Linked DNA regions of Kluyveromyces lactis. The main gene of each other region encodes a partner of the protein of the gene in region 2 in a complex. Links are inferred from orthologs where the notes say so. Each region holds a gene or a part of one and is shown on either strand. Other genes may lie near its edges.

What was found. The genes of interacting proteins can lie anywhere in the genome.
Region 1: the proteins of MEC1 (region 2) and LCD1 are in contact, whole or in part, in a cryo-EM structure (PDB 6Z2W), measured with the Saccharomyces cerevisiae proteins. The link is inferred for Kluyveromyces lactis from reciprocal best matches to the Saccharomyces cerevisiae genes MEC1 and LCD1. Residues at the interface, in NP_009694.3 of Saccharomyces cerevisiae: Ser24, Val26, Ile28, Asp67, Ser71, Glu82, Tyr83, Asn116, Tyr117, His118, Arg119, Trp121, Phe122, Arg125, Ala133, Glu136, Phe137, Tyr138, Gly139, Lys140, Lys143, Phe144, Leu165, Gly167, Lys168, Thr169, Glu170, Leu171, Tyr186, Tyr192; in NP_010787.3 of Saccharomyces cerevisiae: Lys187, Asn189, Met190, Val191, Pro192, Leu193, Asn194, Arg197, Ile199, Leu212, Gln214, Ile216, Tyr233, Gln308, Phe309, Arg310, Pro311, Asn345, Met346, Asn347, Leu348, His349, Val350, Glu351, Pro352, Ile354, Gln356, Tyr357, Glu373, Arg377.

What each region holds. Positions count from the first base shown.
Region 1 is NC_006039.1:149,295-153,324, forward strand, and holds LCD1 (Lcd1p), read right to left. Parts: upstream 2,618-4,030; coding exon 623-2,617; downstream 1-622. Other genes in the region: RPL37A (60S ribosomal protein eL37), read left to right, coding at 155-414; EMG1 (18S rRNA pseudouridine methyltransferase), read left to right, coding at 3,540-4,030. UniProt on the Saccharomyces cerevisiae protein: Forms a complex with the serine/threonine kinase MEC1 which activates checkpoint signaling upon genotoxic stresses.
Region 2 is NC_006039.1:1,367,514-1,371,972, forward strand, and holds the end of MEC1 (protein kinase MEC1), read right to left. Parts: coding exon 367-4,459; downstream 1-366. Other genes in the region: NVJ2 (Nvj2p), read left to right, coding at 1-326. UniProt on the Saccharomyces cerevisiae protein: Serine/threonine protein kinase which activates checkpoint signaling upon genotoxic stresses such as ionizing radiation (IR), ultraviolet light (UV), or DNA replication stalling, thereby acting as a DNA damage sensor.

The sequences.
Region 1 (4,030 bases), about 1.2 Mb from region 2:
ATGTTACCTTCTATGAAATTTTTTGACAGATTCAACTAAGTAATAATGACCATCATATTACACTTCACCTACCTAGCTCATGTGGAGAGTTCGATTTACTCTAAGGAAACAGTTTTACTAACGATTTTTTTGCATTGTCAAATTTTTTAAACAGAGGGTACTCCATCTTTCGGTAAGCGCCACAACAAGTCTCACACTCTATGTAAGAGATGTGGCCGTAGTAGTTACCACATTCAAAAGCACACCTGTTCTTCTTGTGGTTACCCAGCTGCTAAGATGAGATCTCACAACTGGGCTGCCAAGGCTAAGAGAAGAAGAACCACTGGTACCGGTAGAATGAGATACTTGAAACACGTTTCTAGAAGATTCAAGAACGGTTTCCAATCTGGTGAAGCTAAGGCACAATCCGCTTAAACTTTGAGATTATCATGTTGTTGAAGACATATTTTTTATTATCTCATTACTTTGTATAAGCATTGTACTTCTAAATAAACCATCAATATAATCTTTTCAGAGTTCATTCCTATGAAATAATTGGAATATGCTAATATTTATCACTTTGATCAGTGTAAGTCGATGCACATGAACGCCAGTAACTGAGCTCTCTTCGCTTCCGTCTTTCTCAAGTTTCACTAACCATGGCTACATACAATGAATCCGCTTCATCCATAGTGGTTATGCTTTCGAGAATATATTTAGCCATGTCTCTCAATGGCCATGAGCTGTTGTTATTAAATTTTGAAACTGCAGATTCCCTTTTTATGTCCAATTCCTCGGAGTGCATGAATGCTGGTAAATTATCTTCATCATAAGCGTCATCAAAGTATTTCTTCTCTTCCTCTAACGCCAATGCTTTCAATGGATTTATTAGGGCAGCCCATTCTGTGGATAATTCATCTGTCGACTCAGGCCACCCATATACAATACGCCATAGACAGATTGTCAGTTCGTCTAGCCTTAAGGCACGTTTATACTCGTCACTTATCGACACCCAACAGAAGTATATCAATTTTAATAAAACTGATAACAATTCCTGTCTCTTAATATCACTGATATGGTCCCTATCCAAGAACACAGTAAGTAATAACTCTTGATGACTACTGAAAAGAGAAAAAGTCTTTTGTAGAAATTCCAACGAACATAGAGTGGATCGGTATCGATGAAGCAGTTTATGCATTATTAATGTAATATTAATTTGTATCTGAATTGACCAATACTCTAGGTTATCTAATGCTGTGAAAGTGAGAGGTTCAAACTCGTTCTCTATAATCATGGGTAAATATCGAACTTCTTCGAGACTTATAATATTATCTATCATTGAATGATTGGAGTTATCGCCACAGCACCTATTTAAACCCGCAAAGTTGAGTGACACAGAGTCAAAAGTAAGTGATCTCTCCCAATTTTGAATTAATTTTGAGAACAATACTGCCCATTTGCCTTTCCAAACGTTTTCAGCACCATCCAATTCAACTATACCGAGTAATATTTCCGTTACGTTGACGATGATTGGCATTATTGGCTTATATGAAATTGATAAAGTAAAATTGCAACATTTTATGAGGTTCTCTGCAATAGTAGCGTCATTCAATACTATTTCCTGTGCCCGCGTATTACAGTTTAGCAATATTACAATACATGTCTCTAGGACATCGAACGAATAAGTCATGCATAATTGATCAAGCATTGAATATTGAAACACGTCTGGAGAAACGTCTAAATCCAAAGGACTCTCATGCAATGGCTGTTTCAAAAATTTAGGATCAGAGATGATAAAATCTGTAATGAATTGAAATACATCCTTCAGTGAACTAACACTGGTCGCACTATGTCTAAAATTGATTGTACAATGCATCAAAGATATGAGGAAAGGGATGGCAAGTTTATTTTCCGGAAGTACACTTACTGATTTTATAGCAATAGCCAAGATCTCTAGTGTTTTATCAACTAGTTGATCGAGGGTGTAAATGGATTTCCATTTAAATATCAACGATCTAATAGGAGGGCCAAGAGGCAACCTGGCCTTAATTATTTTGTGTTCCGGGCTCAAAATAAGATCTGTCTTATAAGTACAAATGTGATCGAGCATTTCTAGAACTGTGTGCTCAGAACCAAGTAGTTTAAAATTCAGCAAATGATCATAGAAAAGGGAACCATCGTCTACTTTGAAATTCTGAGTCAATGTAACGTATTCTTTAACGGGTTCCATCCTTCTTCTTTTATTTTCAATTGGTGATGGTTCAGCAGTTTCAGTTTCGTGGGTAGTTTCAGACTTGCTGCTATTTCTGGGGGTAAATAAATGTTTCTGTTCCAGTAACATGAACTTTCGTTCATCTTCAAGTCGTTCCAATTCGATTTTAAGCTTCGTAACTTCCTCTTCATGAGAACTTTTCAGACTTGATTCCAGCTTTTTCTGATTATCATCATGTTCCCTTAGAGTCTTTTCGAGCATACTCAGCTTCTGCCTCAAGACTCCCACTTCTCCCTTCGCTTTCATTAACTGTTCAGCTTGTGATTCTGGCGGTTTAATAGGTACCGCCATCTGGCTCATCGGAGGTCTATTCACTAGTTCTAGGATATCATCGTCATCGTCATTATCATCCCATAAATCTGCCATATTGGCCTAGGTTGGTTTTTCTTGTTTTTGTTTGACGCGTTCATGGTAATGTTCTTGACATGAATTAACAGTTAAAGGTTAAATCAAATTCTGTGGTCTTAAGGTGTAAACAAATATGCAGATGATCTGCATTAGCTGAAAGAGAAAAAAAATACATAGTTTCTTGGTTTCACTGTTGTTGACCTTCATTCCCCATTAACGCTGATAACATGTCGCTATAATGCCCTTATACTCGCTGAATTAAAGTCCCGTAACTTCTATATCTCTTTCTGTACACTCTTTGAATGTATTACAATATTTATTAATGATATTTGACTTAATGCTGGCATAGAGTTGTAAAATATAAAAAAGATTATATTAACATATTGAAACAATCAATGTCATATTCACAATCATAATAAGAAAAGTTTCTTTCAGAAGGATATTGCTATGGTTAAAATTGTTAATCATTTAAATGAATGGTCTAGAAAGATCATTTATATTGACGCTACATAGAGTATTCTCTTTGCCCAGTAAATATGACATTTCAATGTTTAGTCATAAATTTACTGAAAATACTCAATCGAAAGATGGGACAAGACCCACACTCTCAGAGATGCAATTGATTTACATTCTACCATGTTACAACGAACGCATGTATCGAATGGCGATTTCATGCCTTGAAATCCCTTCCCTCTTGTCATTTGGAAGCTATGACATGCGGTGCACGGAATTTCTTTTTACTGTTTGAATTTTTTTTTTTCTATTAACCACTTCATGCTCATCGAATGGAATAGTTACAGAATAACTGGAAGAGACCATACTTTAACTACTTGCCGCATCGTTGTACCAGCTCCTGTGGTTTGTTATCGACTGAGGATAAGCTTTATTACGGTACATTTTAGTAATATAATAAGTACAAAAGAAATAATATCAAGATAATATGGTTGAAGATTCTAAGGTCAGAGATGCCATGAAAAATGGTGAGAAGAAAGTCTTGCCGGCATCATTGGTCCCTCAAGCTCCGCCAGTGCTAACATCGAAGGACAAAGTTACCAAGAGACTTATTGTGGTGCTATCCCAGGCTTCTTTAGAGACACATAAAATATCATCCAACGGTCCTGGTGGGGATAAATACGTCTTGTTGAATTGTGATGATCATCAAGGTTTGTTGAAGAAAATGGGAAGAGATATAAGCGAAGCTAGACCCGACATTACTCATCAATGTCTTCTAACCCTATTAGATTCTCCTGTAAATAAGGCTGGTAAACTTCAAGTTTATATTCAGACCAGTCGAGGCGTTCTTATCGAGTTAAACCCTACTGTACGAATTCCAAGAACTTTCAAACGTTTCTCAGGTTTAATGGTCCAATTATTGCATAAACTATCCATCAGATCAGTTAACTCTGAAGAAAAATTGTTGAAGGTCATTAA
Region 2 (4,459 bases):
TGATAACCAATAGAAGAGTTCCTAGAAGCAAAAATTCATCCATTGATAATTCAAAACAAGAGACTTCACATCACACTTCAGAGTCTCATCGTGCCGAGATGTTTGTTAACAGAACAAGAGCCAGGTCAACATCTGGGTCTTACTCCCCGACATCTCCAGATGTTTATAGGAGACATGAGATGAGCTACTCATTTACAAATAATGAAAACCTGAATCCGCATTCCATCACATCTTCAGATATTCTCGAGGAAGCAGAGAACATGATCCCGGAAATCAACGCACAGGTTCGGAAAAAACGCCCTCCTCCTCCATTGCCTCCACGCTAGAAACTTTGTAGAAAATTGTAACATAGATTTTAAGGAATAATTACCAAAAAGGCAACCAACCGATATACATTTTACTTAGATTTTCCACCGAACATGATTCTTGAGTGAGAGCTTCCACTTGCCCACTAACACTCAAAGCCAGTCCATCACGGGCATCAATGCCTCTAATTTTGTCTCGAAGAACTTTAAGGGCGTTTTGTATTGACTCATCGATTTTCCTGTCATACATAATAGTTTCAATTATGTTTACAAGACCTATTTCATTGTTTCTCATGACTCTTAGAGTAACTTCACTTGACTTTTTGAAAGTACCCTCCGTTCCAATAATACCAAATGCGTCAGTAATATTTTGCGTCAATCTGAATGGAACAATTTCTGGAACAGGAAGCTTTTTACCCTTCTCGAAAAGACAGTCAAAATCAACATGCAAGACTCTTCCTGTCAAGACATCCAAAAGGATATTTTCACAGTGTCTATCCCCGAGACCCAATATATGGCCGACCATTGCCATAACAGAGTAAGATCTGACAAATCCATTTCTTGCGTTATACCATGTGATTGGATCCGGGAAGTTGTCAAGAAACCACTGATATAAAACTGGTGGAAACTTTTTCAAACAGTCCTTATGAAACGCCAACTTTTGGTCCGAAGGTATTGATTGCCATTTTTCCTGTAATGATTTTAATGAGTATTTTATCTTCATACTTTCATATTTCATACTCAAAAGCGAACGTAACGTAACCACGTTAGGAACTATTTCTAATAGTCCACAATCTTCACGTAAAGAGAGAACACCATAAGTAGTTATTCCTAAATTTCGTTTTCTAGACTCGACATCTTTACTCAACAGGAAACTCATTGTGTTGGCAAACTGCATATATTGATTATCCTGTCTGACATCCTCTTTTTTGCACATGATGCCGTAAATATTTCCATCAGAGCCGATCACAGTGAGCTTTTTCGGTTTTTTCAAACTGTTAAATACCATGTACTGGGATGAAAATCTGGCGATGGAAACCATGACACTTTTGAATAGATCTGAGTTCATGCTCGTAGCTGTGGATGGTAAAAGCTTCTTTAAATTAATGTTGACGGGCACACACATGTCATTTGGCGCGAGTTCTAGATTAAATTTGAAATCACTATCTATTGATCTCCCTGATCTGCTAGCAGTATTCTTAACGTCTTTTATACATACCCTGGTCAATGACTGCACCAATGATATCGCTGTTCCTGGTAATTTAGTCCTTGGGTTTTTTTTCTGGAATGCTTCAACTATTTGTTTCCCTATATTCCTTCTTTCCAGGCTTTCTGAGTTCAACAAAATCGATATATACCATAGCATCACTGAAGGATATTCCAACGTCATATGAAATAATATGTTAACAATGGTGTGTATTGTCGCGGTATGAGGATGCATTAACCTGGAGAGAAGTTGAGTTAAAACGGTATACCATATATGTATACCGCAATTTTTGACTGCCGTATCGATTTTGTTGCAGATTCTTGAAGAATAATTACTAACATCAGAAATGCTATTATTCACGTCGTTTTTAGCTGTGTCTAACCAAAGTGTGACAACTTTTGGCAAGGATTGTCTTATGTTGGGAGAGCCTTTCTCGAAAGAGGTCAAAAAGTTTGTGATTGATCTATATTCTAATGAGCCATCAGAAACATATCCTTCAGCCTTTTTCTTCTCCAGAAGCTTACTGTAATACAAACCCATAGAGTAAAATGGAGCGTCCCAATTTTTATCAAAACGAATAAGCTCGTTGTATTGCTTGATAATTTGCTCAGAAACCGAGCTATTAGACAAATCCAACCACTCCGTATACTTCAATAGCACTTCCTTGAAATCTTGATTTTCGGAGGAAGCAGTAGAAGGATCATCTTTAAATCGTTTTGTTATCTCTGCAACAGTTTTCAAGGCCATATCTTTTTCACCTTGTTTCCATAAAATTTCTGCAAACTCAAGCTCCGCGGAATGGTGGTTATATTTCAAAGCATTCATCAAATCTTCTGCTGCCAAATCAAGACGATTTTCTTTACGATCAAGCTGAGAAAGTTGGAAATACACATTCGAAATGTCATTCTGTAGATGCTGATTCTTTGAAATAATTTCTACAGTTTTCCTTATTGACAAAAGATAATGATTTGGAGAAAAATCCGAACCTACGTGCGACAGCCTACCATCTAATGCTTTCGAAGCATTTGAAAATTCAGACTGAGTATGTGCGCTGCACAGCAGTTTGATATCTGTAAGTGCGTGAAGCTTTTGCAAAACTTCTCGATTCTTCAACAAAGTTGTGCTAGTAGATGGAATGGTAAATTGGGCTCCAATAAGAGTGAAACATTTGTTTATATAGCGCTCCACATTTTGCTGCTGATTTCTACTAACAGCTTGCAAAACCTTGGCAATATTATAATGCAAAAGTAATGAGGGATCGTTAAACATTTGAATGTGCTCCACTCTTTCAATCCACCTCGTTAACTCAACAATGTTACCAGTTTGACTGACAGCTTCAATACCCATATTCAACAAATCTCCGTCATTATCGACCAAGAATCCCTTCGTCTCAGGAAGATGCACTTTAACCTTCATCAATAGTTCTTCGTATAGTTGATGGCTATACATTGACTTTAACATTTTCATATTTGATGACTTAACCAGTTCTGAACTAGTGGTAGAATTAGCTGATAGCTTAAAATCACCAAGAGCTTCAAAACAGTCTTGAGCCATTTTCCAGTTTTTTGAATATTGCAGTTCTTCTATTTTTGTGGTTAAATTCCCAGTAGAAAACATCTTTAGCACACCACCTACAGCGTCTACATCCCCAATTTCGGCATATGTGTTCTGAATACATTGCAATAAGTCGGTGGACGCCAAAGACGAGGTTCCGTGTTCTCTATAACTTTGCTCAAGGTAAAGCGCTGAGCGTTCAAAGGAATCTGTTTCCAACGATTTCTTGGCGAGGGTGTCTGACGGTATTGTGTTTACGAATCTCTCAGTTCGGTCCAAAACTTGCAAAACTTTATCCTCCTGAATCATGTAAGTTCCGTTGGCTGCTTGATAGTCTTGCTTGAAACTACTAACCCATTTTTTACAGTATTCATAAACCCTGAAAATGGTATTGTAAGCCATCTTGAGCGAGTCTATCTGAAAGTGATTTAGTTGCTGAAGATCGAAATTGAAAATGAACTCGAACTCTATGGAGAGATTTTCGATGATTTTCGAATACTCGTTATGTTTATTGGCTCTGAGAATGATATCCATCGTGATGAATGGCAGTAAGAAATTTGATAATGTACCATCATCTTCTCTGATCAAAGAAGAAAAAACGTGAAGCGGATGATCTTCCTCTGTACCTATCTTAAGCAAGTCCAAAGTAAGGTTGCGTATCCACACTTGGTAGCCATCTTTCACTTTAAACGAAGGATAACTCAAGGGAACATATTCTTTCCACGACTGGGCAAGATAGAGCGACGATAGTAATGGAAACAAAGTGGTCTTAGAGATATCATTAAACCTGGACCATAATTTAGCTTCTACAGGATAATCATCGGGTCTGTTAATATCCCAATTAACTGAACTGAGCCCACAATACTTCAGAGATTCTTGCATCACCAATGCAACGAATAGTTGTTTTGTGGGGTTTTCACTTTGCCAGAATGCGGGTACTAAAATGTTGTTTACAATACTGATTAAAAATTTGACTGTTTGGGAATGATTATTAAAGTCACAAATTTCTTCAGATAGATTAGTATTCCTGGGTAGAGCATGCTTGGTAACATCTAATAGTCCTATCAGGCTAATACATGATGCTGCTATTTGACAAATTTTGAGATCTCTATTTCTAAATTTGTAAGTGGAATCAAGCAATGCCCCCAATAACGTGGACAGGTGCGACGAATCGTCATGTTTTGTTACAACGTCGACATGTTTTCTGTGAATGGTTGTGCTGAAATACTTTTCCAACTCAAGCAGGGTTTGCAAAATGACATATCTATTGTTACTTCCGAGATTTTCTGTGAAAACCTTGAGCCAGTTGGTAGTTGAAATAACCTTCAAAACCTTACGAGCAACAGTGGGATGTCTCTCTAGGACCTGAAATTCTGGGTTATTTAAAAATGCG